Linked DNA regions of Elephas maximus indicus. The protein of the gene in region 2 purifies or fractionates together with the protein of the main gene of each other region. This does not show direct contact. Links are inferred from orthologs where the notes say so. Each region holds a gene or a part of one and is shown on either strand. Other genes may lie near its edges. The genes, in order: KPNB1, KPNA6, RNMT and CHD8.

What was found.
Region 1: the proteins of KPNA6 (region 2) and KPNB1 purify together in Homo sapiens (affinity purification with mass spectrometry; 4 studies listed by BioGRID and IntAct, with this or other methods). This does not show direct contact. The link is inferred for Elephas maximus indicus from reciprocal best matches to the Homo sapiens genes KPNA6 and KPNB1.
Region 3: the proteins of KPNA6 (region 2) and RNMT purify together in Homo sapiens (co-immunoprecipitation; 3 studies listed by BioGRID and IntAct, counting the BioPlex papers as one, with this or other methods). This does not show direct contact. The link is inferred for Elephas maximus indicus from reciprocal best matches to the Homo sapiens genes KPNA6 and RNMT.
Region 4: the proteins of KPNA6 (region 2) and CHD8 purify together in Homo sapiens (affinity purification with mass spectrometry; 4 studies listed by BioGRID and IntAct, with this or other methods). This does not show direct contact. The link is inferred for Elephas maximus indicus from reciprocal best matches to the Homo sapiens genes KPNA6 and CHD8.

Annotation. Positions count from the first base shown.
Region 1 is NC_064837.1:45,774,202-45,782,184, forward strand, and holds the start of KPNB1 (importin subunit beta-1), read right to left. Parts: upstream 3,083-7,983; 5' UTR 2,719-3,082; coding exon 2,679-2,718; intron 2,574-2,678; coding exon 2,515-2,573; intron 1-2,514.
Region 2 is NC_064821.1:73,062,981-73,069,944, reverse strand, and holds the start of KPNA6 (importin subunit alpha-7), read right to left. Parts: upstream 3,052-6,964; 5' UTR 1-3,051. UniProt on the Homo sapiens protein: Functions in nuclear protein import as an adapter protein for nuclear receptor KPNB1. Binds specifically and directly to substrates containing either a simple or bipartite NLS motif.
Region 3 is NC_064829.1:7,451,126-7,458,916, forward strand, and holds the start of RNMT (mRNA cap guanine-N7 methyltransferase), read right to left. Parts: upstream 3,135-7,791; 5' UTR 3,052-3,134; exon of another isoform or gene 2,766-3,051; intron 1-2,765. UniProt on the Homo sapiens protein: Catalytic subunit of the mRNA-capping methyltransferase RNMT:RAMAC complex that methylates the N7 position of the added guanosine to the 5'-cap structure of mRNAs. Binds RNA containing 5'-terminal GpppC.
Region 4 is NC_064828.1:31,812,929-31,820,037, forward strand, and holds the start of CHD8 (chromodomain-helicase-DNA-binding protein 8), read right to left. Parts: upstream 3,015-7,109; 5' UTR 2,953-3,014; exon of another isoform or gene 2,908-2,952; intron 1-2,907. UniProt on the Homo sapiens protein: ATP-dependent chromatin-remodeling factor, it slides nucleosomes along DNA; nucleosome sliding requires ATP. Acts as a transcription repressor by remodeling chromatin structure and recruiting histone H1 to target genes.

The DNA.
Region 1 (7,983 bases), on a different chromosome or scaffold from region 2:
CAAATAAAAACATCTCGAGAATTTCACCAACTGAGCATAGCTTATGAGCACCACACCACTGAGAAAAGTTGTTTTTTTTTTTTTTTGAGCAAATCATAAATGTCTCAGATAATTCCCCAAAATGTACCTATTAAAGTCACCCATCTTCTCATGAAATGTCAAACAGTACTTACAAGAAGTTGTAGATTTTCCTAGCAAACCTTTCTTAATGGCCAAATCTTTACATTAAATCTCCAGAACTAAATCAAATCTGGCAATCTGGTAGCCAACGGATTCTTCCACGTCAATTGAAATATCCCAAACATCTACACCAGTGCCTGATAGTCAATAAATATTTGTTGAATGAATGAATACGTTGTAACAGGGTAGAAAGTAAAACTATTTTCAAATATTCAGGCCAGCTCTGCTGACTGGGCCAGGTCACTTAGTATCCTCAGTCAGAAAAAAACCTCAGTCAGAAAAAGATACCAAGGGTAGCTTTTGGACTAGTGAAAGTAAATCTTGAACAAGAAAGAGAAATACTTATCAATAGTCCTAAAACAGACTTAGAAGCCTATCCTCTATATTTTAGTTACAGTGCGGATAAGGCTACATCTGCGAAAGGGGAACAGTGGAAAAAGCAGATTTATAAGGAAGAATTCATAAATATTTAGAAGGTTAAGTGGAAAAGATAAGAAAAGTCAAGGCAAGTTGTTCCAAGGTAACTGATTTTGTATTTAACAGTTAACAGATTAAATAAAAGCTGCTTTACATTTTGGACTTAAGTTGTGCACTAAACATAGTGAAGCCCTGAAAGACACACTCGATCTTTTGTAATGCACAGGTCCCCTAGGAAAAGCTACCCCCTTTGTTTAAAAATTTTAACATACACGCTCCCTTCCCCTCCAAAAAAGCAGCTCTGTCCAAATGGAAAAGTTTACAGAAAAAGCCAAAAGCAGACAGTTTCTTCCACTATCAAGTACTGCCTGGCACCTGAAATTCTAGTCACGGCAGAAGATATTCTTAAGTCTTACTAATGTTGGACAATGGGATAGAAAATGCTACTGGTGAAGAATGAGCTTCCTGGATCAAGTAGTCACGTGAGACTATGTTGGCATCTCCTGTCTGGAGGGTAGATGAGAGGGTAGAGGGGGTCAGATGCTGGCCGAATGGACACGAAGAGAGACAGTGGGGGGAAGGAGTGTGCTGTCTCATTAGGGGGAGAGCAATTAGGACTATATAGCAAGGTGTATTTAAATTCTCATATTAGAGACTGACTTGATTTGTAAACTTTCACTTACAGCACAATTAATAAAAAAAAGTCTTACTAAAATGTTGTACCACTAAAAAATATTTTTAAAATAAGATAAAAAGCAGAAACAGGAATATATTCCTATGGAATGTTATCAGTCTATACTAATAGAAAAAACCTTTCCTGGGGAAAGATTAAAAAAAAAGAAAAAAACATAAGAGTAAAAAAATAAAAACCAGCAATTATAAGAACAAAATACATCATCCACTGGCAGTCTGCACAAAATAAGCCTTGTCTTTTTTTTTTTTGCTTACATTATTTTGCCTAGAAAACTCAAAGGAACACATTTTGTTACAGTGTTACCAACACATTGCTTATTACCTTTAAAAGATGTCAAGGATCAGCCACCCTTCCCTATGCTCCCTCCCATTCCCACAACAGGAGAGGAAAACCAGAGAAACGTTAACTGGCACATGGGCTGTTGAAATCATTTTTATACAGCAGGCCAGACTTTATACTCTAGTGGGCTTATCTTCATTTTTTCTGTGCCTTTTAAATTTGAAAACATGAAAAACGAGGAACTTTCCTCTGTGATTTCATCAGGAAATAGGCCCGATCTTCTCAAAGATAAGCTCCAGCCTGTTGTCTGGGTGCAAATCCCTACTGATTAAGTCTCTGCTCATCAATGAAAAAAAAAAAAAAAAAAAAACCCAGGAGAGGAAGAACCGAGTATACTAGGAAGAAATATTAACGGGAATGGGTTAAGAGGCATTCGGGTGCCAGCCCTAGCCATGAGCACAGACCAAGGGAGCTAGGAAAAGGCAGAGCTCTGGGAAGTAAGTGGAGAGAACCCCAGAGGCCACGGGACAGGAAAGAGAAGCCAGCACAGGTCCGAACAGGGCTGGCAGCTGGGCTCGGAGCTTCCACATGGCCCCTAGGCCCGGCTCCCCCACCCCCACCCTTGCTGAACACGCAGCGCCGCGCAACCTAACTTCCCTTTCCTCCCTCTTTCTCCCTCCCGCCGCACCGCCGCCCTCAGGCCGCGCGGCGATTGGGCGGCAGTCACCCCGGCGCGCTGCGCCATTGGCCAGTCGCCGGGCCCTGGGGCGGGACACACCCACCGGCTTCCCGATGGCGGGGTTAGGTTGGACCGGGGTGCGGGGGGAGGGGGACGGGATGGGGCGGGGTAGGTTCCCGAGGCCTGGGCCTCCGGGAGGGCGGGAAGGCCCCGGACGCAGGAGATGGGAAGACGGCGGGATGGGGGAGAGCAGGGTGGCACGCACCAGGTTCTCCACGGCCGCACGCTCCAGGAACTTCTGCGCCGCTTCCAGTTCCAGGCGATCTAGGGGGAAGGAAAGTGGGAAAGGGGACAGGGTCAGAAGGGCAGGGCCTCCCCCTCCCCCACTTCAAGTCGCCTCGGCCCGACCCCCCGGCCCCCGCGTCCTACCGGGAGATACGGTCTTCTCGAGGATAGTGATCAGCTCCATCGCGAAGGTGGTGGCGCCGACTCCTCCTAAGACGACGGTCCGGCCTCTCGGGCGGCGACTCTAACTGGGGTTGGGGGTTGGGGGTCGGGTGGGAAGGGAGGGTGGGGTGGGGGGCGGGGGTCACCACAAGCCCATTCACCGGCTCCCACTTGCTAGTCACTCAGGCCCCCTTTCCTTCCTTCCTTCTTTCCTTCCTTCCTCCCTTCTAATGTGCGGCTCGCGGCGACGGCAGCTGCTCTTCTGGCGGTGGGGGAGGAACCCCGGGGGCAGCTCAGACCGCGGCTGGTGCTCGGGTGGCGGAGGGAGAAAGAAGGAAGGGAGGCAGTAAGTGAACGGCGGCTCGCAGGGAGGGAGAGGGAGGGAGAGAGGGAGGCGGAGGGATATTCGGGCCGGACCTCTCCGCCGCGGCACCGCGCTCCACGTCGATTGGCTGCCGCTGTGGCCACGCGGAATCCCCAATTGGCCGGGCGGTTAGCGTTGAAGGGCCGCCTTGCGCCGATTCGCCCGCTGGTTTCAAGGACCGGGTTGGCTGGGCGGGCAGCGGAATGGGGCATGCGGATTGGCCGAGGGAAGGGAGGTTGGGGTGGGGCAGGTCTGAGCCGGCTGCTGATTGGATTGGCCTGGCAAAGGCCGTGGGCTCAGACTGGCTGACCGCTAGGAGGAGGGTGGGTCAAAGGCAAGACTCCGAGCCTGGGTGATTGGCTAGGACACTAGACGTTGATAGACTGGGGTGCTCGGGAGAACTGGAGAGAGGTGTTCGGGGTCGACTCCGCGGAAAGGCGGGAGGCCCCTGGCCGCTTTAGGGGCCTAGCGCGGGGCACGATGGGACGCCCCCGGGAAGGGGCGGAGCAGTGTTGGGGCCGCTTCGGGCTGCGGTTTTGGAAAGCGCCGTCACTCCGAGGGGCGTGTTGAGTTAGGACTTGGCGGGTCTGAGCCTGGGAGGGAGACCGTTAAAACCCTGTACCGCGTCCACAGGAAGCTGCTTTAATAACTAGGCCTATTTAGTACCAGGCTTTCTGTTGGGGAGGATTTTAAGAGACCATTTGGTTCAATTTCCAATTTGCAATTGTAGAAACTGAGGACCAGAGAGGGCACGGAACTTGTCCAAGGTCACACAGCCCGTTAATGGCCTAGTCCGGACTGCTTTCTAGCACTCCCAACTGCCCTTGGCCCTGCCGGCAACATCCTCCCCAAGAAGGTGAATGCTAATACGTCCAGTTAGAAGGCCTGACTCCAATAGATGTGGGCACTTGGATTCTTCTTAGAACCCAGTCTGAATAGGAATGTATATCATTCTCCAAAGGTGTCCCAATAAAGGCACAACCGTGAACCAGAAGGAATGTGTGAACAGGCATAAAGGATTGTGGTTTTTAGCCTTTTTTAGTTAGGACATTGGGAGAAACTAATGAAAGTCTTTCCTTAGCAAAATGCACAGAAAGAAACTGCGTGCGGTTTCCTGACTTCACCTCCCATTGATAATGGGCCCCAAGTTAACAGATTGCTCAGCTTTTGCATTTTTCACCGTATTGCTGATAGTGTTAACTGTAGCTGTTTGGAGTTTGTGAGGTATTTGCTCTCTACTCTAGCCTTTTTTTTCTAGCCACACTGGGAAAACCTAGGCAGAAGTCTTATTCATGCTGAGGGGTCCCAACCAAGTATTAGGAAAGCTTGGCCAGCTGCCTTTGATCCTTAAAAGAGGAAGAAGAAATTTTTCTGTGCTAGATATACCTTTGCAATCCTGAAGCTGGAAATGAGGCATACTGTAGCTAGCTGATTCCTATGGTTTAATAGTCCACCTACTTCCAACCTTTTACTTTATTAACTAAGAAAGAACTGGCCTGCGTAACTTCATTAGAAATCAATGAAGGTTAAGTGAGATGACATCCATGGAAATCTTTGAATTGTCTTTACGTGAATTACACTATGAAGAAGCCTGGGTGCTCCAGTGGTTAAGCACTTGGCTGCTAACTGAAAGGTCCTTGAGTTCGAGCCCACCAGCCGCTCCAGGGGAGAAAGATGGGGCAGTCTGCTTCTGTAAAGATTACAGCTTAAGAAACCCAACGGGACAATTCTACCCTGTCCTATAGGGTCGCCATGAGTCGAAATCGACTCTTTGGCAATGGGTTTTTGGGGTTACACTATGAATGAGCTATAATTTTGTTTCACTGCAAGCCAATTTTCTTCAGCTCTCCAGCAGTTTTCTGTGCCAGCTCCTCTGCTCAACATTAGTCATGATAATACTACTGAGGGCACATTGATTTTTAAAGTTGTTGCTAGTTGCTGTCCAGTCGATTTTGGCTCATAGCGACCCCATATTAGCTTCTCAGTTACCTTGTCTAAACATTAAAAGAATACCTTAAAGGAATGCAGAGATTAAATTAAATAATGCAGCCTGAAAAACTCAAGCACATAGTGGGCACTTCATTATGGATTACTTCTTGTGGAGGGGGAGATGGTATCCCAGGGAGGGGCAGTCACAGAGGGCTTTCTCGAGGACAGGATAATACCCCCTTACCTTGAAATAAGTGGTATGTTTTGATTAGGAGAAAGGCTTCTACTACACTATAGCAACAGTTATTAGGTAATAGATAAGGGACTGAACTAGGGCCCCTGCCCACTGCTGTCAAGTCGATTGCAGCTCATAGTCTAACCCATTGGGTTTCTAAGACAGTAAACCTCTACCAAAACAGACTGCCCCATTTGTCTCCCTTGGAGCCGCTGGTGGTTTCTAACTGCTGACCTTTTGGTTAGCAGTCAATCACCTTAACCACTGCACCACCAGGGCTCCTCACAAACTAAGGCCAGGAGGAACAATTAGAGAAATGTTGAATCAATAGAATTGATGGGGTTTAGTGGTTGATTAGATACAGAGGAAAGGGAAGGATGAAAGGTGAGTCCTAGATCTCCAGCTTGAATGTTTGGGAGAGTGGATAATTGTAAAAACATTTATTGAAGCTAGGTTGGTGCAGGAGGTTGGGGTCAAGGTGGGGGAGATGGTTGAAGAATTCAGTTTTAGAAATAGTTTGTCTTTATGGTCACAGAGGGACATTCAAGGGAAACTGTATTGGGATTTGGAAGAAAGGCAGGTGCTTGGGGAAGAAAAAATAAGTCAGTTGATCAGAAATGGTCATTAAGACCCTGACATCCTATAAAGAGAGAGAGAAAAGCAAAATATTTAAGAGAGGACATGGAGTTCCAAACTAGTGGGTAATACGAATAAGAGGGAGAAAGAACAGCAAGAGGTAGGAAAACAAATAGAAGAGTGCATTATTTTTAGTTGTGCTAGTCTGAATAGGGTCACTATGAGTCGGAATCGACTCAACGGCACTGGGTCTGGGTAGTCTGAATTACCAGTAACCAGTAGCCGTTGAGTCAATTCCAACTCACGGTGACCCCCCTGTGTGCTAGAGTAGAACTGTGCTCCATAAGGTTTTCAATAGCCAATATTTCAGAATTAGATCACCAGGCCTTTCTTCCAAGGCACCATTAGGTAGACTCAAACCACCAACATTTTAGGTAGCAGCTGAGCATGTTAACTGTTGGAACCACCCAAAGATGTCCATGTGCTAATCCCTGGAACCTGGGAATATGTTAATCTACATGGCAAATGGGACTTTGCAGATGTGATTGAGTCAAGCATCTCGGGATAGTAAAATTATCACTTATTATCCTGGTGGACCCAATGTCCTCATAAAAGAGAGTCCGAGTCAGAGAAGGCTCTGTGATGACAGAAGCCGAGGTCAGGGTGAGGCGTGGCCAAGGAATGCAGGTAACCTCTAAAAATAGGGAAAGGCAAGGAGTAGATTCTCCCATAAAGCCTCCAGAAGGAACTCAGCCCTACCTATCCATATTAAACTTCTGACCTCCGGAACTACAAGTTGGTGTTGCTTTAAGTCGCTAAAGTTATGGTAAACTATTACAACAGCGATAGAAAACTAATACCAAAACCAAAAAAACAAACCCATTGCCGTCAAGTCAGTTCTGACTCATAGCGACCCTACAGGACAGAGTAGAACTGCCCCATAGGATTTCCATAGGTGGATTTGAACTGCTGACCTTTTGGTTCACAGCCAATCTCTTAACCAGTGCGCCACCAGGGTAAACTAATACAGTAGTTAACAATTAAAAACAACTGAAATATCTAACAATGGTGGATTCATTAAATAAATTATGGTACATTCTTATGATCAACTGTTGTAATTCTAGTTAGCAGTTAAAAATTATGCTGTCAAAGGTCATTTAATCAAGTATAAAATGTTCACACTCTTGTTTAGAAAACATCATAATATTGTAGATTCATATGTTAAAAATTCATCAACATTTTACACACTTGGCTAGGTATAAGCTAAACCCATTGCCGTTAATTTGATTCCAACACATAGTGATCCTACCCCCCCCCCAAAAAAAGCCCTTTGCCTTCGAGTCGATTCCAACTCATAGCGACCCTATATAGCACAGAGTAAAACTGCCCCATAGGATTTTCAAGGCTGTAAATCTTTAAGGAAGCAGACAGCTACATCTTCCATGGAGTGGCTGGTGGGTATATGAACAACCAACATTTCAGTTAGTAGCCGAATGCTTTAACCACTGTGCCACCAGGGCTCCTTAGGTATAAAAAAAAAAAAAAAAATTTTTTTTTTATACCAACCCAATAAAAATTCTTGCAGAGTATACATAGAGAGTGCCTGTTTTTTGTTTTTAAATTAGCTACTTGATTTAAAAAAAAATCATTTGATGTTTTAACAAAAGTCTTAGCCGAAATACAGAGGTAATTTAAAATTAAAGGTTAATTCTTAGTTAGTGTTAATTTTCTTCCTCTCCTTTTTTTAATTTAATTTAATTTAATTTTTTTTGTGCTTCAGGTAAAAGTTTACAGAGCAAAGTAGTTTCTCATTAAACAATACACATATTGTTTTGTGACACTGGTTGCCAACACTGTGATGTGTCAACATTCGCCCCTTCACCCTGGGTTCCCTGCTTCCATTCATCCAGTTTTCATGACCCTTCCTGCTTTCTCATCTTTGCTTTTGGGCTGGTGTGCCCATTAGTCTCATATACATGATTGAACTACAAAGCACATTCCTACGTGTGTTATTGTTTTTCCTATAGACCTGTCTAGCCTTTGGCTGAAGGGTGAACCTCAGGGGTGACTTCAGTACTGAGTTGAAAGGGCGTCCGGTGCCATACTCTTAGGGGAGAGTATCCTATTTTGTTCAAAGAAAAGGAGCTTGAGTTCTATCTGTGTATCCGTGAATAGGAAAAAAG
Region 2 (6,964 bases):
TATCCTCTCTTCCATTGGTCAATTTCTTTCCTGCACCAATATCGTATTATCTTGATTAATATACTTTTTAAAAAATTTTCCTCATCTGGAAGTACAAGTCCTCCTATCTTAATCTTCAGGAGGGAGTGGTTTAGTTTTTTCCTGAGCCTTTGAAATCTACAATCAGATTGTCAATCCCTTGGAAAATCCTATTGGAACTGCCCTTACACAATATGAATGTCTCTCCCATTAAATTAAAAAAAAAAACAACAAAACCTTTCAATAAAGACATAGAATTTTCTCCATGAAAGATCTTCTCTATCTTTTAGATTTATTCTTAGGTTTTTTTTGGGGGGAGCCATGGGGGGAAAGAATTGCTCTTTATCTCATATCCAGACACCATGCTAAATTCTTATTAATTCCAAAACACTGAATGCTTGAATTACATCATCTTCAAATAAGTTTTTTTTTCCTTTCTTATTTATTATTATCCTCTTTTTTTTTAGTTCCCACTGTGTGCTACCACGCATTTTACTAAGGAAGGCTTATTTATTTATTTCTGCACTGGCTGAAAGTAAAACCACCTGTCTGTTGGTCTGTCATAGTGTGTGGTGGCTTGTGCATTGCTGTGATGCTGGTATTTCAAATACCACCAGGGTCATCCATGGCGGACAGGTTTAAGTAGAGCTTCCATATTAAGACAGACTGGGAAGGAGGACCTGGCAATCTATTTCTGAAAGAACTGGCTGGTGAAAACTTTATAAATACCAGCAGAACACTGTCTGATATAGTGCCAAAGATTAGCCTCTCAGGTTGGAAGACACTCAAAAAACAACTGGTGAAGAGCTGCCTCCTCAAAGTAGAGTCAACCTTAATGATGTGGATGGAGTAAAGCTTCAGGACCTTCATTTGCTGATGTGACATGACTCTAAATGATCAGAAACAGCTGCAAATACCCACTAATAATCGGAACATGGAACGTATGAAGTAAGAATCAAGGAAAATTGGAAGTTACCAACAATGAAATGGACTGCTTGTAGACCGATACCCTGAGCTGAAATGGACTGGTACTGACCGTATCGAATCAGACAATCCTGGTCTGCTATTTCAGGAATGACAAACTGAAGACGAAAAGCATCATATTCATGGTCAAAAAGAGCATTTCGAGATCTGTCCTGAAGTACAACACTGTCAATGATAGGATAATATCCATATGCCTACAAGGAAGACCAGTTAATACAACTGTTATTCAAATTTATGCACCAACCACTAACACCAAAGATGAAGAAACAAGATTTTTACTAACTTCTGTAGTCTGAAACTGATCAAACATGCAATCAAGAAGCATTGATAATGATCGGTGATTGGAATGTGAAAACTGAAAATAAAGAAGGATTGATAGTTTGAAAATATGGCCTTGGTGACAGAAACAATACAGAAGATCATATGACAGAATTTTGCAAGACCAATGACTTATTCATTGCAAATACCTTTTTCCAACAACATAAATGGTGACTACACACATGGACCTCCTCGGATGGAATAAACAGGAAATCAAATCGACTACATCTGTGGAAAGAGACGATGGAGAAGCTCAATATCATCAAGGCCAGTGGCCGGTACAGTCTGATGTCACTGCCTTGGTAAGTGCTAAGGCATCAGCAGTTTTGCCCACCACTGTTTTGCAGTGTCAGTGCAAATGTCAGACACAATGAAAATGTTAATGATATCTTAGCATTATTTATGAACATTAAGGTGCATCTGCCCCAAGCCATGGTGTTTTCAATCACCTCACACACATTCGAAAGCTGGATGATGCATCAGGAAGACTGAAGAACTGACGCCTTTGAATTGTGGTGCTGGTGAAGAATATTGAATATGCCATGGACTGCCAGAAGAATGAACATATCTGTCTTGGAAGAAGTACAACCAGAATACTCCTTAGTAGCAAGGATGGCAAGGCTATGTCTCACATACTTTGGACATATTATCAGGAGGGATCAGTCCCTAGAGAAGGACATCATGCTTGGTAAAACAGAGGGTCAGTGAAAAAGAGGAAGACCTTCAAAAAGACAGAGTGACAAAGTGGCTGCAACAATGGGCTCAAGCATAACGATTGTGAGGATGGTGCAGGACTAGGCAGTGTTTTGTTCTGTTGTGCCCAGGGTTGCTAGGAGTCGGAACTGACTGGACATTACCTAACAACATTATTTATGGTAACAGTCTTCACTTCCAGGACCCTCTGAAAAGTTGCAGGTACTCAACTGGGTCCCTGGGGCCAAGGGCGGACTGCCCAGGGGCTGACTGCAGGACAATCATTTGTATGTTCAAGTTGAAGTTCATGACTAATAAAAAAAGTCTACCAGAGGCAAAGTACAACCTTGAGTGTATCTCACCTGAATTTAGAGACTATCTCAAGAACAGATTTGACTCACTGAATACAAATGACTGAAGGCCAGACAAGTTGTGGGATGACATTAAGGACATTGTCTTAGGGTGGCTTCTCTAGAGAAGCAAAACCAGTGAAGCGTAGATATATACATACATATATATATACACACACACACACAAATACATATACATGTAGAAACAGAGAGATTTATATCAAGGAAATGTCTCACAGGGTTGTAGAGGCTAGTTAAGTCCCAAGTCAGTGGGTCAGGTGTGAGGCTGGAGGCTTCTTCTAATGGAGGTAGCTACAGGGGCTGATGAACCCAAGATTGGCAGGTCAGAAGGCAGGCTGTTGGCTCAAGTACTAAGAACCAGTGGTCAGATGATGATGAGCCAGAGGCAGGATCCAGAGTGAGCAAAAGCTAGCAAGCTTTGCCAGGAAGTCCATATATATTGGATGCAGCCACACCAAGGAAGCTCCCTTTCAACTGATGGTCAGTTCACAGCAGATCTCATCGTGGAAGTGATTACGTCATTATATAACGGCCAAACCACTGAGAATCATGGCCCAGTCAACTTGCCACACAACCTTAACCATCACAGACATCATACATAAAGAAAGCAAAGGGTCATTAAAAAGAGAGAAAAGGAAAAAAAAAAGAACAAATTATTTGTCAGTAGAGACTCTGAAACTTGCTCTTGAATGCAGACTAGCTAAAGTGAACAGAAGAAATGATGAAGTAAAAGAGATGAACAGAAAATTTCAAAGGGGAGCTCAAGAAGACAAAGTATTCTAATGAAATGTGCAAAGACTCAGAGTTAGAAAACCAAAAGGGAAGAAAATGCTTGGCATGTCTCAAGCTGAAAGAAACAAAGAAAAATTTCAAGCTCAAGTTTAAATATTGAAGGATTCTATAGGCAAAACACCAAACGATACAGGAAGGGTCAAAAGAAGATGGAAGGACTACACAGTCACTGTACAGAAAAGAACTGGTCAACATTCAACCATTTCAGGAGGTAGCATATGATCAATAACCGACGGTACTGAAGGAAGAAGTTCAAGTTGCATTGAAGGCCTTGGCGAAAAACAAGGCTGCAGGAATTCATGGAATACCACATGAGACGTCTCAACAAATGGATGCGATGCTGGAAGTGCTCACTCGTCTATGCCAAGAAATTTGGAAAGCAGCTACCTAGCCAACTGACTGGAAGAGATCCATATTTGTGCCTATTCCAAAGAAAGGTGATCCAACAGAATGCAGAAATTACTGAACGGTATCACTAATACCACATGCAAGTAAAATTTTGCTGAAGATAATTCAAAAGCATTTGCAGCAGTACATCAACAGGGAACTGCCAAAAATTCAAGCCGGACTCAGAAAAGGATGTGAAACAAGGGATATCATTGCTGATGGCAGATGGATCTTGGATGAAAGAAGAGAATACAAGAAAGATGTTTACTTCTGTTTTACTGACTATGCAAAGGCATTCCACTGTGTGGATCATAACAAATTATGGATAACATTGCTGTCATGGATTGAATTATGTTCCCCCCAAAATGTGTGTAAACGAGGGAGGATGGTGGCAATTGTGTTAGTGAGGCAGGACTCAATCTACAAGATTGGATTTTGTCTTGAGGGGATCTCTTAACATATAAAAGAGAGAAGCGAGCAGAGATACAGGGAACCTCGAACCACCAAGAAAGCAACACCAAGAGCACAGCTTGTCTTTTGGACCCGAGGTTCCTGCGCTGAGATGCTCCTAGACCAAGGGAAGATGGATGACAAGGACCTTCCTCCAGAGATGACAGAAAAAGAAAGCCTTCCTCTGGAGCTGATGCTCTGAATTTGGACTTCTAGCCTACTAGACTGTAAGAAAATAAATTTCTCTTGGTTAAAGCCATCCACTTGTAGTATTTGTTACAGCAGCACTAGATGGCTAAGACAATTGCGAAGAATGAAAATCCCAGAACACTTAAAAAAAAAATTGTGCTCATGTGGAACCTGTACATAGATCAAAAGGCATACCTATGGACAGAACAAGGGGATACTGCTGGTTGAAAGTCAGGAAAGGTGTGTGTCAGGGTTGTATCCTTTCACCATACTTATTCAGTCTGTATGTTGAGCAAAGAACCTGAGAAACTGGACTATATGAAGAAGAAAGAGCCATCAGGATTGGAGGAAGACTAATTATCAACCTGCAATATGCAGATGACACAACCTGGCTTGCTGAAAGTGAAAAGGACTTGAAGCACTTACTGATGAAGATCAAAGACTACAGCCTTCAGTATGGATTACTCTTTCACATAAAGAAAACAAAAATTCTCACAACTGAACCAATAAGCAACATGGTGATAAACGGGGAAAATGTTCAAGTTATCAAGGATTTCACTTTACTTTGATCCATAGTCAACGTCTATGGAAGCAGCAGTCAAGAAATCAAACGACATAGTGCATTGGGAAAATGTGCTGCAAAAGGCCTCTTTCAGGTGTTGAAAAGCAAAGATGTTACTTTGAGGGCTGAGGTGTGCCTGACCCAAGCCACAGTGTTTTCAATCGCCTCATATGCAAATGAAAGCTGGACAATGAATAAGGAACACCAATGAAGAACTGACGCCTTTGAATTACAGTGTTGGTGAAGAATATTGAATATACCACGGACTGCCAGAAGAATGAACAAATCTATCTTGGAAGAAGTACAGCCAGAGTGCTCCTTAAAAGCAAGGATGGTGAGACTTTGTCGCACATACTTTTGGACATGTATCAGGAGAGGGACCAGTTACTGGGGAAGGACATCATGCTTGGTAAAGTACAGGGTCATCGAAAAAGAGGAAGACCCTCAATGAGATGTGAGATGGACTGACACAGTGGCTTCAACAACAGGTTCAAACATAGCCAATGATTGTGAAGATGGCAAAACATTGCCCAGTCCTGTGTATACAGGGTTGCCTTGAGTTGGAACCGACTTGCCGGCACCTAACAACAACAGAAATGGTGACTATGGAAGTAAATATAAAATAACTGCAATAAAATTGGTATACATTTTGCTGTGTATATTCTCAACAACAACAAAATAAATAAAATTTAGGAAAAAAATTGCATTAGAAATAATTGTTTAAAGCAAAAATAATGTAATTGTGGGATTTGTGTAATTAACACCTAGAAATAAAATCTACAACAATAGCAAAAAAGACGAGTAGGGGAAATGGAAGTGTGTCATAGGTTCTTACTAGACACGTGAAATGGTGTATTATCTAAAGGTACACTGTGATATAACAAAGATGTATATTGCAAACCTTAGAACAACCATTAAAAAAATAAAGCAAAGAAATACAGTTAATAAGCCGAGAATGGAGATAGAATGAAAACATAAAAAATAATTAATCCAAAAAAAAGCAGGTAAAGAGGGAAAAAAGAACCAAGAGCAAATGCAATAAATAGAAAACAAATAGGAAAAGAGCAGACTCAATCACATGTATAATTACATTAATATGGTGTAAACACTTCTATTAAAAAGGATTCATTGTCAGAACAATAGTAACAATAAAAAATAAACAACAATAAAATGAAGACACTTGTATATGTTGTATACAAGAAACCCACTTTAGGGTCAACGTTAACAAAGAATACTTACTACAGGGATGAATAAGGACATTTTATAATGATAATCAATTCATCAAGAAGATCTAAAAACCTTAAATGTGTATACAGGTAACATCCCAGCTTTCTTTCGGTTAATATTTGCTTGCTGGGTATTTTTCTATTTTTAAAAATTTCAACCTGAGTATATTTTAGGTATGTCTCATATAAACCACATATTGCTTAATTAAAAAAAAATCCAATCTGATCATCTGTATTAATTGATTTCTGCAAGTGACTTGTTTTGACTTGTTTCTACCACCTTTTTTTTGGTTGTATACTCTTGTCCAGATTTTTCTAAGCTTCCCCCCCACCCCCCAGTTTATTTTTATCATCATGACATTTTCCTCTCTACCAGTTTGGAATTTATACAGCGAATTTTAATCTTAGTGGTTACTTCTGAAGTTTTACTAGACATACATAATTAAAGCTAATTATCTTACCTCCCTCCTAAAAAATAAAAAGACTACACTTATCTCACCATACCAAAAAAACAAACCCACTGCCGTCCAGTCAATTCTGACTCACAGTGACACTATAGGACAGAGTAGAACTGCCCCATGGAGTTTCCAAGGAAAGCCTGGCGGATTCGAACTGCCGACCCCTTGGTTAGAAGCCGTAGCACTTAACCACTACGCCACCAGGGTTTCGATTTCACCATAAAGCCTGAAAAAATTCAGAGTATATATACAAAAAGCCATTCTGTTTAACAAAGTTATTTCTCATGGAGATGAAGAACATCATTAATCTTCCTGCAAAAGAAGGATGGCTACAGCATAGAGCACCTTGTTCATTTCCCTCTCCCCAAATCTGCCCTCAAAAAGCAGCTTTTCTCTTGGACTTACCCCTGAGCTTACCTACTGACAAAAACCTGCCAGCTGCAATCAGACACCAAGCTCAAAAATCTAGCTCTGAGGAAAGAAGAATAGGAGGGAAATTTGTAGGCATTTCTTACT
Region 3 (7,791 bases), on a different chromosome or scaffold from region 2:
AAGCTCAGAAGCTCCACCGATAAGTGCCTGGGGGCACCCCACTCCACCAGGAAGCCTCCTGTGCACAGGCACTCAGCTTTCTCACTCCGGGGGTCGGCTCCAGCGCTGTGTGGCCCTGGTCTCCTGCGGCTGGTTCTCTGTCACTGCCACCTCCTTGCCACTGCAGGTTCTCTGCTGCTGCTGGCCCTCTCTCACTGCTGCTCCTCTAGTCATTCACAGTTTCAAAACTGCTTCCACATTTTAGGTATCTGTTAGAGCAATACCCCACTCTCTCAGTACCAGATTCTGTCTTAGTCATCTAGTGCTGCTATAACAGAAGTACCACAGGTGGATGGCTTTAACAAAGAAAAACTTATTTTCTCACAGTCTAGTAGGTTACAAGTCCAAATTTAGGGCATCTGCTCCAGGGGAAGGCTTTCTCTCTCTGTCAGCTCTGGCGGAAGGTCCTTGTCCTCAATCTTCACCTGGTGGAGAGGTTTTTCAGGCACAGGCACCCTGTTTCCAAAGGAACAGGTCTGCTACTGGTGCTACTTTCTTGGTGGTATGAGGTCCCCAATGCTCTGCTTGCTTCCGTTTCCTTTTATCTCTTGAGATAAAAGGTGGTACAGGCCACAACCCAGGGAAACTCCCCTTTTCTTGGGTCAGGGAGATGACCTGAGTAAGAGTGATGTTACAATCCCACCCTAATCCTCTCGACATAAAATTACAATCACAAAATGGATGACAACCACACCATACTGGGAATCATGTCCTAACCAGGTTGATACACACATTTTTGGGGGGACATAATTCAATCTATGACATGTCCTCATTGGGTTTCCAAGGCTGTAATCTATACAGAAGCACCAGCAGAGTAGCTGGTGAGTTTGAACCACTGACCTTTTGGTTAGCAGCCAAGCACTTAACTAGGTCTCCTTGTAAAACAGGAAACCAAAAATTAAACCCATTGCCTCTAAATCAATTCCAACTTGTAGTGACCCCACAGGGTTTCTGAGGCTGTAAATCTCTATGCAAACAGACCATCACATCTTTCTACCCTGGAGCTGCTTGTGGTTTTGAACCCCTGACCTTTGGTTAGCAGTCAATCACTTTAACCACTGCACCACCAGGGCTCCTGTCTGTAAAATGGGCAGGAGAGGTAAATAACTATTGGACAGGAATTGTTACATTGCTCCATTTATTCATTCATTTAACGAATCTGGAAACCCTGGTGGTGTAGTGGTTAAGTGCTACGGCTGCTAACCAAGAGGTCGGCAGTTCAAATTCGCCAGGCGCTCCTTGGAAACTCTATGGGGCAGTCCTACTCTGTCCTATAGGGTCGCTATGAGTCGGAATCAACTCGACGGCAGTGGGTTTGGTTTGGGTTAACAAATTTACTCAACTTCCACTACAGAAGAATTTAATGAAGGACTGTGTGAAAATTATGCATTCAAGAAGTTTATACCCTGCATACCACTATTAAAACATTAGGCTATATTATTCAAAGTAAATGGAAAAGAGGGAAAAAATCAAAAGATTAGTGAGATTCAGCAAATTCAGATTAAATGCACAGAAGCTGAAAGATATAAAGAAGGGAATGAAAAAAACTTTTGAGTAAAGAAAAAGGGTAACAATTTAAAGAAAGTTGCTTAAGGGAATGAGGAAATACGAGTCACTATGACTTGAGTTAGGGAAGGGTTTCAAAGGAAACTGGTTCGCACAAAAGGTTAAACACTCAAATACTAGCCGAAAGGTTGGCAGTTGAAACCCATCCAGAGGCACTTCGGAAGACAGGCCTGGCAATCTGTTACTGAAAGATCTTGACAACCGTCTGGAGCACTGTTCTATTCTGACACACATGGGGTTGCCATGAGTTGGAATCCACTCAATAGTAACCATCAAAAACAATCCACCGTTTGAGGTAGCAAAATATCCAGGTACCAAAATACAGAGAACTTGATCAGAGAAAACAAAAACAAAAAAACACTCCAAAAAATACTATGCAGAACTAACCAACATGATCATCTAGTACAACTGACCATCACATTATCAAGTCCCTATCTTCACTTCTTCCATTTATTTTCTAATAAAGATATACACACAGGTTTTAAATTCAAATGAAGCCATCTGATACACCTTTTTGGCTGAAACTGTATTGCCTAAAATTAGTATTGAGATTTAAGCGCGAACTGTACTTATATTTACAACAATATTGTGCAACTCTATTTCCACAGATTAGATGTCTCGAAAAGATAACCGATTCTGTCAGAACCAATGAGACAGCATTCCAAACGACCGCAGAAATGGATAAGAATGTTTAAAACCGAGCGTCAAATTACAATAATGAACAAACTCCAAACAGGAAGAGAGCTGTCCCTCAGAACTTTCGAGGAGGGAGCTTAGAGTAAACAGTCAACTGACTGGATATGCAATAAACCTCCAAATAGGCGTTTAGATCAGGCTTTCCTTCGAGGTAAGCCACATCTCTCCGTCATTTCAGTTTCTCAGTGAACGTCTGAGCAGGGTACCAGGGCCGCCAGGCTTAAGCTCAAGCAGGAGGTCTACCCAGGATCTGACAGCTTGATGGAGTCAACTCAGGGGGCTCAAGAGCATGCAGTAAAGGAGACAAGGGAATTTTTCAGCAAGTGCACCTCCTTCCATCATTTGCGCAGCCTAATACTCTTAACCTCCTGCTCGGGTTTCGGATCCGCCGCTCAAAAGAAACACTATTTCGAATACAACACTCCGTTTCCTTCGGCTAAGAAAAATAGAATCAGCTTAATAACCATTAAGTCTTTTCCAAATCTTCTTAGCGTAAAATGGGAAGAAAAGGCGCGGCCCTGGTTCCTCCCTCAGTCTTGAGCAGCAACTGCGCCTGTCGGCCTCCACGAGTGGTACCTGTTCTGCTTTGGGCTTGAGGGCACAATAAGCCCCTCGAGACAGGAACTCAACGCACAGGGCTAACGCGAAGCCAGCCCGGGTAGGAACTGAGTGCCCTTCTACCTCCGCCACGGCGCGCAGGGCCTACGACGAGGAGAAAGCAAGGGCCGGAACTTCTGCCGCTACACTCACCAGAACCGGTATCCACAATTCTGTTTCCGGAAACTGCGAACGGCGCGCTGGGTCCTTGTGACGTCATTTCTGCCGCGCGACCGGTCACGTGCCGTCGCTCTGGGCCACAGCGGAACTTCCCGCTGCCTCTGCGCCAGACTACGAGGCCCAGCGTGCCGAGCGCTCGTCGTGGGGGCGTGGCTGCGGACTTCGGTGGTGGAGGGCGAGGAACCGCGGCAGCCGCGGGCACGGCACCCGACCCGCATCGCCAGGCCTCGGCCGGGAGGCGGGAAGGTCAGCGCTGAGGAGTGGCACTCTTGCGGCATCCAAGGAGCTGTCGCCCGGCCTGCGCGGCGGCGCCGCCGTCCGTGGAGGTAGCCTGGGCCCACATCGCAGGGCAGCGGGAGGCGAGGAGGGCCCCTGCGGCGCGCGACCGGGTGGGGGTTGCGGAGGTGGTGGGGATCAGGACAGAGCCTGGCCTACTGCCCGGTGAGCGCCAGCGCCAGCGCGGGGCACCTGCACGTGTGGGCCCCACACGTGCCAGCCGAGAAGGATCACGGGCCTGTTTCTCAGCCTCCTGCTCTGTAACCCATCGCCTTCTGCTCCTCCCAGCTGAAGAAGGGCCTGTGCCCTTGGAGTTGACTTAAAAAGAGCAATGACTGGCAGGTCATTTTCTGCCTCCGTATTTGGGAAGCCGTGCCATTCTTCATTCCAGGGAGGCCGTTATCATGACGGACTCTGGAGAAATGGGTATACCGCTTCTTGTGAAACGCATAAAAGCATATTACTGTGTGTTGGTTAGGATTTCGTGTGGGGTGGTTGCTGGAGGACAACACACTTTGTCTATTCCCTCAGATTTCCCCTGGACAATCAAAGGCATCTTCTGTACTAAAACTCAAAGCTCCACAGTTAAGGACTTTCAACCCTATAATTAGGGTCAAAACTGTCCATGTGATGTAAGACGTTGTTATCGTGTGTGCCTATTAATGTTGTACCCCGGCACCTTTCCACTTTAATGGTGCAAAAACCTGATCAGATTTGCAATCCATCTTGAACTATTTTTAATCAAAATTGATTCCCTTAAAAGCAGCTTTGAAACTGTTAGTAGCCTGCCTTGTAAGTAACCAAAACCCGTTGCATGGAGTCGATGATTCCGACTCATAGCGACCCTATAGGACAGATTAGAACTTCCTTATAGGGTTTCCAAGGAGCGGCTGGTGGATTCGAACTGCCGACCTTTTGCTTAGCAGCGGTAGCTCTTACCACTGCGCTACCAGCTTTGCTTTGGGGGAGGGGCCCTGAGAGCGTTTGGCTGCTAACCAAAAGGTCGGCAGTTGGGATCCACCAGCCGCTCCTTCGAAACCCTATTGGGGCAGTTCTGCTCAGTCCTATAGGTTCGCTGTGAGTCAGGATCGACTAGATGGCAACGGGTTTGGGTTTTTTTTTTTTTTTTTCTTTACTTTGGGAAAGGCAAGATTTGCATTATGTACTTTTCAATCTAGTTACTTCTAAGTTGTGGACGTTAACCCTTCTGAGATTAGCTCAGACTTTGAACCGAGAATGAGGACTGTTTTTATCAAGTAGATGAACCGTTTCAGATGACTGCACCTGTGTTTTTTATTATATGCAGTGAGTCAGGTGGAGAATTAACGTCAGCTCATGAACAACATCAAAGGCCTAATGAATTTACTATTTACATGTCCAGGCATTAAAATTAGGCAATTACATAGCTCATATTTGCTAGTTCTGATGCTAAAATTACTTACTTTTAGGGAAAATGAGTCTAATTTTGACTTAAAAGTTTTTCTCTGTGTTCAAGAAACTCCAAGATGAATTGTTGTTTTGAATGTGATGTATAGACATCAAGTTTGATAGTTTTTTACCAGAGTTTGCTGGAATAATTTAAATTTAGTGGAAAAGAGGAAGAACGCTTGAAAGTAGTAGTAATGGAGGGAGTAAATGGGCCATATAAAATGTCTAAAACCACCAGTTATTTTCACTCATTATTTCCTGAGTAGTCTTTAACTTTCTGGATACGATAATAATAATAGCAACAGCTAGTACCTTATTGGAGTCCTGGTGGTGTAGTGGTTAAGAACTTGGTTGCTGACCAAAAGTTCAAATCCACCAGCTGCTCCTTGGAAACCCTATGGGGCAGTTCTACTCTGTCCTGTAGGGTTTCTGTGAGTTGGAATCAACTCGATGGCAATGGGTTTGGTTTTTTTGTTTTAGTACCTTAGTGCCTTCTATGTGTCAGGTAATCCAGTGAGGTAATTGCTTTGATTATTTTTGTTTTACAGATGAGGATTGAGTAATTTGTACAAGGTAATACAGCTAGTAAGTAGTGGAGCTAGGAGGTGGGCCCAGGTATTCCGTCTCCAGAGACAGGGCTCTGTGCTAATAAGGAGCTGGGGCCTGCCAGAGGCCAGACCACAAACTGGCAGTTGCCTGCCAGAGTGGTTTTTGAGAACACATTTTGGTCCTTCTTAATGCCTGGATTATTATGTTCAAAGAAAATAGCTGGGGAAGGATGTTATGACTGCTAGAATGTGAGCTCCACCAAGGCAGTATCATCGTTCAGTGATTTATCCAAGGTGCCTTGAACTTTGCCTAGCACATAGTAGGTGCTCATTGAGTTACTGTATCTCCAAGAAAGGTTTAAAAAAAAATCCATTTTTTGTTTGTTTTTGTTTTTTAGGACATACTGAATTTATTTCAATTCAGTGCTTTTTTTTTTGTTGTTTGTGTGTGTGCATGTGTGCTTTGAGTGAAAGTTTACAGAGCAAATTAGTTTCTCATTCAAAAATGTATACACAATTTGTTTCATGACATTTGTTGCAATTCCCGCAATGCATCAGCACGCTCTCCCTTTGCACCCCAGGTTCCCCATGTCCATTTGTCAAGTTTTCCTGGCCGTTCCTGCCTTCTGGTCTTCGCTTTTGGGCAAGTGTTGCCCATTTGGTCACATATACTTGATTGATCTACAAAGCACGTTTCTCACGTGTTGTTTCTTTTATGGCCTGTCAAATCTTTGCCTGAGTGTGGACTTCAGGACTGGCTTCTGTTCTGAGTTAGCAGGGTGTTTGAGGGCCATTGTCTTGGGGGTTTCTCCAGTCTCTATGAGATCAATAAGTCTGGTCTTTTTTTGTGAATTTGAGTTTTTTCTATGTTTTCCTCCCACTCTATCTGGGACCCTCTATTGTAATCCCTGTCAGAGTGGTCAGTGGTGGTAGCCGGGCATCATCTAGTTCTTCTGGCCTCAGGCTGGTGGAGGCTGTAGTTCATGTGGCTCATCAGTCCTTTGGACTAATATTTCCCTTGTGTCTTTGGTCTTCTTCATTCTCTTTTGCTCCAGACAAGATGGGACAAAGCGATATATCTTAGATGACTGCTCACAAGCTTTTTTAAGACCCCAGACACTACTTACCAAAGTCAGACATAGAACATTTTCTTCATGAACTATGTTATGCCATTTGACCTAGATGTCCCCTGACACTATGGTCCCCAGTCCTCAGCCCCAGTAACTTGGTGCCTCAGGGTGTTTCTGTGTGTCTAGGAAGCTTCTGTGTCTATGCCTTGGTCAAGTTGTGCTGACTTTTCCTGTATTGTGTATTGTCTTTTCCTTTACCAGTTAGCGCTTGTCTACTATCTAGTTGGTGATTTCCATTGCCCAGCCCTCCCTTCCCTCATGACCATCAAGGATTGTTTATTTCTGTGTGTAAACCTTTTCTTGGGTTTTTATAATAGCAGTCTCATACAATATTTGTCCTTTTGTGGTTGACTTATTTCACTCAGCATAATGCCCTCCAGATTCATGCATGTTGTGGGACGTTTCGTGGATTCATCGTTGTTCATCGTTGCGTAGTATTACATTGTATGTATGTACCATAGTTTGTTTATCCACTCATTTGTTGGTGGGCATTTAGGCTGTTTCCATCTTTTAGCTATTGTAAATGATGCTGCAATGGACATGGGTGTGCATATATGTCTATTCGTGTGACGGCTCATTTCTCTAGGATATATTCCTAGGAGTGGGATTGCTGGATCACATGATATTTCTAGCTTTTTAAAGAAGCACTGTATCATTTTCCATAGCGGTTGTATCATTTTATAGTCCTACCAGCAGTATATGAGAGTTTCAGTCTCCCTATAACCTCACCAGCATTTATTGTTTTCTGAATTTTTGATCAGTGCCATTCTTGCAGAGGTGAAATGATAGTTCATCATGGTTTTGATTTGCATCTATCACAAGCATCTTTTCATGTGTTTATTGGCCACCTGAATGTCCTCTTTGGTGAAGTGTCTGTTCATGTCCTTTGCTTATTTCATGAATGGGTTACTTGTCTTTTTATTGTTGAGTTATTGAAGTTTCCTGTATTTTTTAGGGATTAAACCATTATCAGATATGTTGTTGCCAAAGATTTTTTTCCAGTCTGTAGGTTCTCTTTTTCCTTACTTGGAAAGGTCTTTCGATGAGTGTAAGTATTTAATTTTTAGGAGGTTCCAGTTATTTAGTTTATCTTCTGAAGTTTGTACCTTTTTAATTACGCTTGATAGTCTCTTTATGCCATAAATTAGGGTCCCAAGCATTGTCCCTGTGTTTTCTTTCATGAACTTTATAGTTTTAGGTTTTATATTTAGGTCTTTAATCCATTTTGAGTTAGTTTTTGTGTTTGGTGTGAGGTATGGATCCTGTTTCATTTTTCTGCAAAGGGATATCCAGTTTTACCAACATCATGTCATCATATGAGTACCAAACTA
Region 4 (7,109 bases), on a different chromosome or scaffold from region 2:
AAATTGTGTTATTTTTTAAAGTCTCCTGATGTAATCTGAAAACAAGAACTAAGATCTTTTAAAGTTGACCATTTTGTTTCATCAGGCATTAACCAAGAGCCTATAGCGAAGGACAGAAAGTAATGGGCAATAAAAGGACTAAAGAAGTAAGTTACTTACAAAACAATCTAATGAGAAATCTCAGGGACTAACATACTTTGTAATTTAAATCTAAAATACTCCATAACTACAAAGAGGTAAACTTATTTTGTCAATAAAAATATAATGGAAAGTTTAAAGGCAATACGAAATAGTTAGAAAACACAAAAAAAGAATTAAATTATAGCACACAAAACAAAAGTTAGAGGTTAAGAGAGAAAAAAGGTTATTCAGGAAAAAACTTAGTGTTCAGTTAATGGTAAGTAAGCTTTTAAGCAAAAGAAAGTGGCTCATAGAACAGCTTGCTCATATAGAAATGCAAATACTCGGTATCAAAGAAAAACATCTTGGAAATTAGGGTCTCTTTACATTCTCTGAAAGGCCTCAGCAAAACAGAGGCAAAGAAGTGCAATGTCAGTGAATTAACACAAAAAGCAAAGTGAACAGGAACATTTAACAGTAGAGTGAAAGGAGGACCACCAACTTTGTGGGGAAAAAGAATAAAAAATTAAAGAGGAAATATAAGAAATTAAACTGAGTAAGATATGAAACATGATAGTCTGTCAATGAATCAAATGTTAAAGGTAAAATAGTAAATACTAGGTCAGTTACAGCAGTGACCTGCAGATTAAGGACTTACTCAAATCTTACTCAAATGCAAGTCCACAAGTGAAATGACTTCTAGAGGTGGAGGTTGAGGGTCCAGAAAAATGTGTCTTCTGTTAATCCCCTAAGTATTAATTAGGCTCAATGTAAGGTTAGAAGATAGCGTAACTCTTCCAGGCCTGTGGACAAACAGTATCTCCAAAGCACTTAGCGTTCACCTCTGAAAATGTTACAATCCTCTTGCAGATGAGAATATCAAACCTCATTCTTTCAAACAAGCACAGTTCTTGGGACTCTCAAATTAATATTAAATGGTGGGAGATGTGTACAGTGGCTTATTTTAAAGAATGCTCCCCCTCACCATCCTACATTACCTCTCAGAAATTCAACCCTTCACATAAAATGTCAATTTTTTCCTATTTCAACTAAAGCTCTGCAGTGGTGGTTACGATAATGCCAAGATTTCTCCACCCCATCACCCAGCAATGCTGCAGAGAAGGCTGCCCTGGGAAACACAAGATCTGTGTTTCCTGGTAAGTCACGATCAGCTCGGCAGATTCATTTTCTATCTAGTATTTAAATGGATTTTGTTAATTTGAGAAGTGATAAAACCAAAGGCCATATGCACAGGTTAGATTAAAGCATGGAGAAGGTGTGAACTGTACAAGTACCCATATATTGCTCCATCAAATGCCTTATCCCAATCCATTACTCCTTTGCTATTTCAGTTTTAAACCTTCCTCCAAGCCTGTGCCTATCTCTTTTTGGCCACTGTTCTTCATCATGACATGCCACTCTTGCAACATAGATCTTCTTAAATGGCAACTATCGTTTTTCTTATCATAACTTTTTCCCCTCTCAAGGGGTGGGATCATTCCAAAATATTAGGAATGGGGAGCTTCCCATACTCAGGCCCTTCGAGGCTGACTGCAATTTATTCTGAAATCTAGCTGGTGACCAAGGCAGAAGAAATGCATAAGTAGAAGTCATCATCTAAACAACTAGCAGAGGACATTACCCAAATCACAAACTCACCTTCTAGTATCTAAAGTGCCTTGCACCAGATAGGACCTCAGTTGCTGCTAAGGATAACCCAAACAGTCAGTGAGTCTCTGACTGAGTTCACAGGCTCAGAGCAACAAGGAGATTAAACGATCCGCCCATGCTGGTGTGATGAAGGCCTGCAGCAGACACTGATCATGCAACGCCTCTGGCTGTGTACTTGGTGTGCTCCCCTATATCTGCTCTTTAAAAAAAGACATTGAATTCCAAGTCTTTGACTACTGGCTGGCTCACCGTGCCCAATCACTGAAATGAGACTGGATCACTAAATATACGTGTGTGTGTACGTCTTCTTCGAAGACCTTAATCACTTCAGGCCTGCTCCAAAAAAGGCAGAGGCTGCTGCATTTGCACAGCCGCTGCACTGGGCGGAGAAATTCCCTGCGACACTACACACAGGTAAATAAAGAAACTGCATTTGCCCCGAGGCAAGAAGAGGGGTCTTCTGCCTGGGGAGAGTTTACATAATGCACCATAAACCCACTGAACTCTGCATATGTGTCAAAGGAGATGCAAGGCTTGCGCTCCTCTCTTCCCACCATGTCTAAACACACTCCAACAGCTTGCCCTTTTCTCCCAGAAGACCCACAGAAATTGTACCTAAGAATGTACAGCAACCTGCGCACGCTCACCCTATGCTTTCTTACTCACCTCTATTATTTAAAAAAAAGGGGCGGGGGGGGAGAAAAAGAAACCTAACCTCCCACTTCTGAGTCCAAAGTATGGAGTAACCAAACAGAGTCGGGGAGTTTACCCTCCCCTGAAGGAGAAAGGAGAACAAGGAGCTGCCTCAAATCTATACCACGCCCAGTAATGCAATGACAAGCCTTAAAAAAGCAACAGCGGCCCGGGCAGGCCCCTCACGGGTTGGCCGGACTCGGGCCCCGCGGGCCCGCAGGCACCCTCTTCCCCTGGCCTCTCACAAAGAAGAATGGTTCAGTCCAGAGCATCACCCAACACCTGATTCCTCACAAGTGGGGGACAGGCGGGGGGCGGGAGCGGAAGGAGGATAATGAGTTAATGAAATTAATTCTAAGAGCTTTAGCTTTTGCTAGGACTCGTGGAGCAGCACTGAGAAGTCCATGTGAGCGGGAAGCCTACCTGAACAAGTCCTGGTGCTTCTTTTCCAGCCCCGTTTCAACTCACCCTTTCGGAGAACAAGGCGCTTTCCGGCGGAGCATGGCCAGCTCTCGTCTCAACCGAGCTTGCTAGTAGTCCATTCTCCCTCGGCTCCGCCCACCTGCCCTCCCACCCACCAATGGCAAGGCTGAAGCCCGGCCTCTTCCAGCATGGTAGTGTGAGCGCCATCCAGGAAGTCTCCTGTGAGTGGGAGGTCCTAAAAGGCTGGGAAGGGTACGTAGGCAACCACAGATATGCCTGATTGAAAATAAAAATCTGGCGGCAGCTCGTCTCTGATGGCTCAGTTCACAGGCGCTCAGGCCTTTCGGCATCTTTTTTTTTTTTTTTTTTAGACCCCGGCCGTTGGGGGCGCTCTAAACTAAAACATTTAGTTACCTGTGTCTAGGAAGCCATCTTGGCTCAGGCTGGTGCCTTGGGGGCGGGGAGAGGGAAGGAGTGTTTGAGCAATATGAAGTCATTTTCCACGTTTTACCCGACTACTCGGGACCAGCCCCAACATTCTCACCTTTATATAATCAGGATGTAACCTCAATCATTATAGGGGAGAGACTCTGTAATGCCGAATATGGTTAGAAGCAACCGTATCACCCTCCCACTTAACTGCACAAGTGAAGCAATTTTACCATTGAAAGCAAAAACCAATTCTTCAGATGAGACTGGGTGCTCCCAGTTCCTGGAATAATCCTTTATAGACACCTCACTCCTCAGAGCATCAGCACATAACCAACATAGGTTATGTATCTATTCTAAAAAAAAAAAAAACTATTCTAGATGCTTCTAAATCTTATGCTGCTCTTGCAAAATTTCCAGTGTTCTGACTTGACAGTTCCAGTGTTCGGACTTTGACAGCACAGAGGGTTGTGAATCAGTTGGAAATAAAGAGCTGGAAAAATTTTCAATTAAAAAAAAAAAAGAAAAATGGCCTCAAATTCATCAATGAACCACAACTACTTGTGCATGCATACAATGGAAAAGACAGAAGCCTTACACGAAAAACTCTGTGTAGGGACAAGACGGTCCTTTAGGGGGCAGCTCAGCCGTAGAAACATTGGTTGGAGGAAGTAATTTTCTACTGGCTGCTATCGACTCGACGGCGGTAGTTTTTTTTAGCTCTTAAATCGGAGAGGAAATGATTTCATTGTTAGTGAAATTTTCTTGCACTAGAAGCCTTAAACGGGAAACTATGTGTAAGGAGAAGTGGGGGGGACCTAAAGCCCTAACCTCCATTCTGAGTCCAAAGTATGGAGTAACCATAGGGGGCAGCCCGGCCATAGAAGCATTGGCTGGAGGAGGTAATTTTCTACTGGCCGCTTTTAAATCAGAGAGGAAATGATTTCATTGTTAGTGAAATTTTCTTGCACTAGAAGCCTTAAAGGAGAAGGGGGGAAAAAAAAACTAAAGCCCTAACCTCCATTCTGAGTCCAAAGTATGGAGTAACCATAGGGGGCAGCCCGGCCATAGAAGCACTGGCTGGAGGAAGTAATTTTCTACTGGCTGCTTTTAAATCGGAGAGGAAATGATTTCATTGTTAGTGAAATTTTCTTGCACTGAGTGACACTGGTTTTCCAGTATTTCTCAGTCTAAATCTTATTACAACTCACTACAAAAAGTCTTTATTTATTTATTTTTTTTAAGCCTGTAAGTGAAGGGGAAACCCTGGTGGTACAGCAGTTAAGTGCTATGGCTGCTATCGAGAGGCCGGCAGCTCAAATCCACCAGGCGCTCCTTGGAAGTTCTATGGGGCAGTTCTACTACTCTATCCTATAGGGTCGCTATGAGTCGAAATCACTCCATGGCAATGGGTTTGATTTTTTTTTTTTTTTGGTGAGCAAAAGGAGTCCCTCCAGGTCACTAAAAGAATTCTCTCAAAGAATAACACAGTCTCATGGTCATCCGTGGTAGGAGCTTAGAAACCTTAGAGTCATATGACTCAATCTTTTATCAGAGAGGTGATAAGAGTTGACCAAATAAGTTCTCCTGTATATTGAACAAAGTTTGTTGGCCAAATTCTCCCCTGGCTACTGCTGTCGTTATACCAAATTTGAGTTTGGTGTTAGGATTTACCATAGCAATGTGTTTGCAATGAATATATAGATATGATCTTATTTATTAGTAGTCTCTAGAATGAGAGTCTATTATCCTTCTAATGTTATTTGGTACAAAATGGACCCATCATCAGAGAACTAGTTACAGGTATTATAGATAGGGAATGTGCCTGGTCCAATAATTTCAGCTACTTGCAATGATCTTTTCCTGTAACTGGTATGATCTCCTGGTGGCTCAATGGTTAAAGTGATTGACTGCTAACTGAAAGGTCAACAATTTGAAATCACCAGTCACTTGCGGGATCAAGATGTGGCAGTCTGCTTCCATAGAGATTTACAGCCTTGGAAGCCCTATGGGGTCGCTATGAGTCAGAAGGGACTCAATGGCAGTGGGTTTGGTTTTGGGGGGGTTAGTTTGATTTCCAATGGTGCTGGCCTTCAAAAATCAATACTCAGATTATCTCATAATTACCATTCTTCACATGGGGTGGGAGATCCACCTTCTACGATATTTCTTCAATGTCACTTCACTTAACATCAGCAATGATCAGCACAGGCTGTGAAATTGCTTCTGTTTCTCGTGTTTCCCTTACAATTGGTGAAATGCCCAAGTACAGAGGTTATAAGTTGGCTTGGATAATAAAACTGAATATGGGAGTTAGAAGGAAGCTTTATCAATAACTTTGATAAAATTCCTTAGGAGGAGATTATTTACTTATGTTTGGGATACAATAAGAAATGACATGTACATATGAGCAGCTTGGATACATGCATACACACAGTAATGATACAATTGATCAACAACAAAAATGTTAGAAAAATTCATGAGACCTCAGTGTTGTGGAACAGAGTGGGAAATCAAGGCAAGAAGATATAGCAAGTGACCTAGAAGGCCTTGTGCGGAATGAAGCAAAAGCAAATTTTGCTAGGATAGTATTATATGCTTTTGAAAAGGAGAATGGTTGGTAAGTATCCACTTATGCTGACAGCTTGAAAACAGGCAGCCTTACTGTATGCTGCATGGAATGGAGGCAGAGGTCCTAGGAAGAGTGGAAGAGAGAAGGAAAAGAGCAATATGGGACCTAGGGTAAGCAGATAGAAGAGATTGAAACAAAGTTATCAAAGGGATGACTCTAAGGCCTTTTGTTTACTCTGAAGTCTAAAATAAACCTGTTCTAACTCTTTAAGTCAGTCAGTCAAATTCAATGATCATGTAATGAATGTAGCAGTGGGCTCTGTGAAGGAATGGTGGTGGGCGTGGAGATTTTACAAAATTGAAGGAATGACAGGAGCTTACGAACTACATGGGGAGACAGATCCTATACATAAAACAACTGTAAAACATATTTGTAAAACAACATTAATACAAATAAATATAAACAGTATAAGAAAGGTGGAGCCTAAAAGGGATACCATGTCAATAATTGCTTAGAAGTCCCTAAGTCAGTCACAGAAGTCTTCCTGAAGGAAAAAGTTTTAGACTTTGGGTATAATTTTAGCAGAAAGTAGGGTGCGAGCCAGGGCATGGAAGTGGGAGTAAATATATCATGTCCAGTAAGCAGATTAGTTCGGTTGGATTAGGAGGTTTAAATTGTCTAGTAAGAAGTGAGTATGATGCAATAGTAGCAGTCTGTTTGGTGAAAGACACTACGATGTTAGGTCTGGTCCCTGAAACAAAACAAGCAGTGAAAGAATATTTTTTTTAGTTAATGATAAGTGGTCATAGGTCCAGGACCATCTCACTGCTCTCAAAAGTTTTTTAGTCACTCTAAGGGACAGAAACTAGAAATGGGATGGTCTAGAAAAGTACTGAGCATCTTTCAGCAGTTCAGGTAGAAGGAACTGCCTTCTGGAAGATCCCTCAGGAAGTGGCAATTGGACCCCCAAAGGCAAGTAAGTTAAAAAATCAATGAAATTTCTAGGCAGGGGATCTAACACCCACAGCTCACTAAATCCCAGTATTCTCAAGCGATGAAGCAGAACATCCTTGACCCTTGTTACTAATTCTTGTTGGGGAGCAGAATGGGTATGCTTATAAAATAATTTATTTGTGGACTACAGTGACTATCAGCTTTGATCTTAACGTTTTAGAAATTAAAATAGGGGGACGAGAAAAGC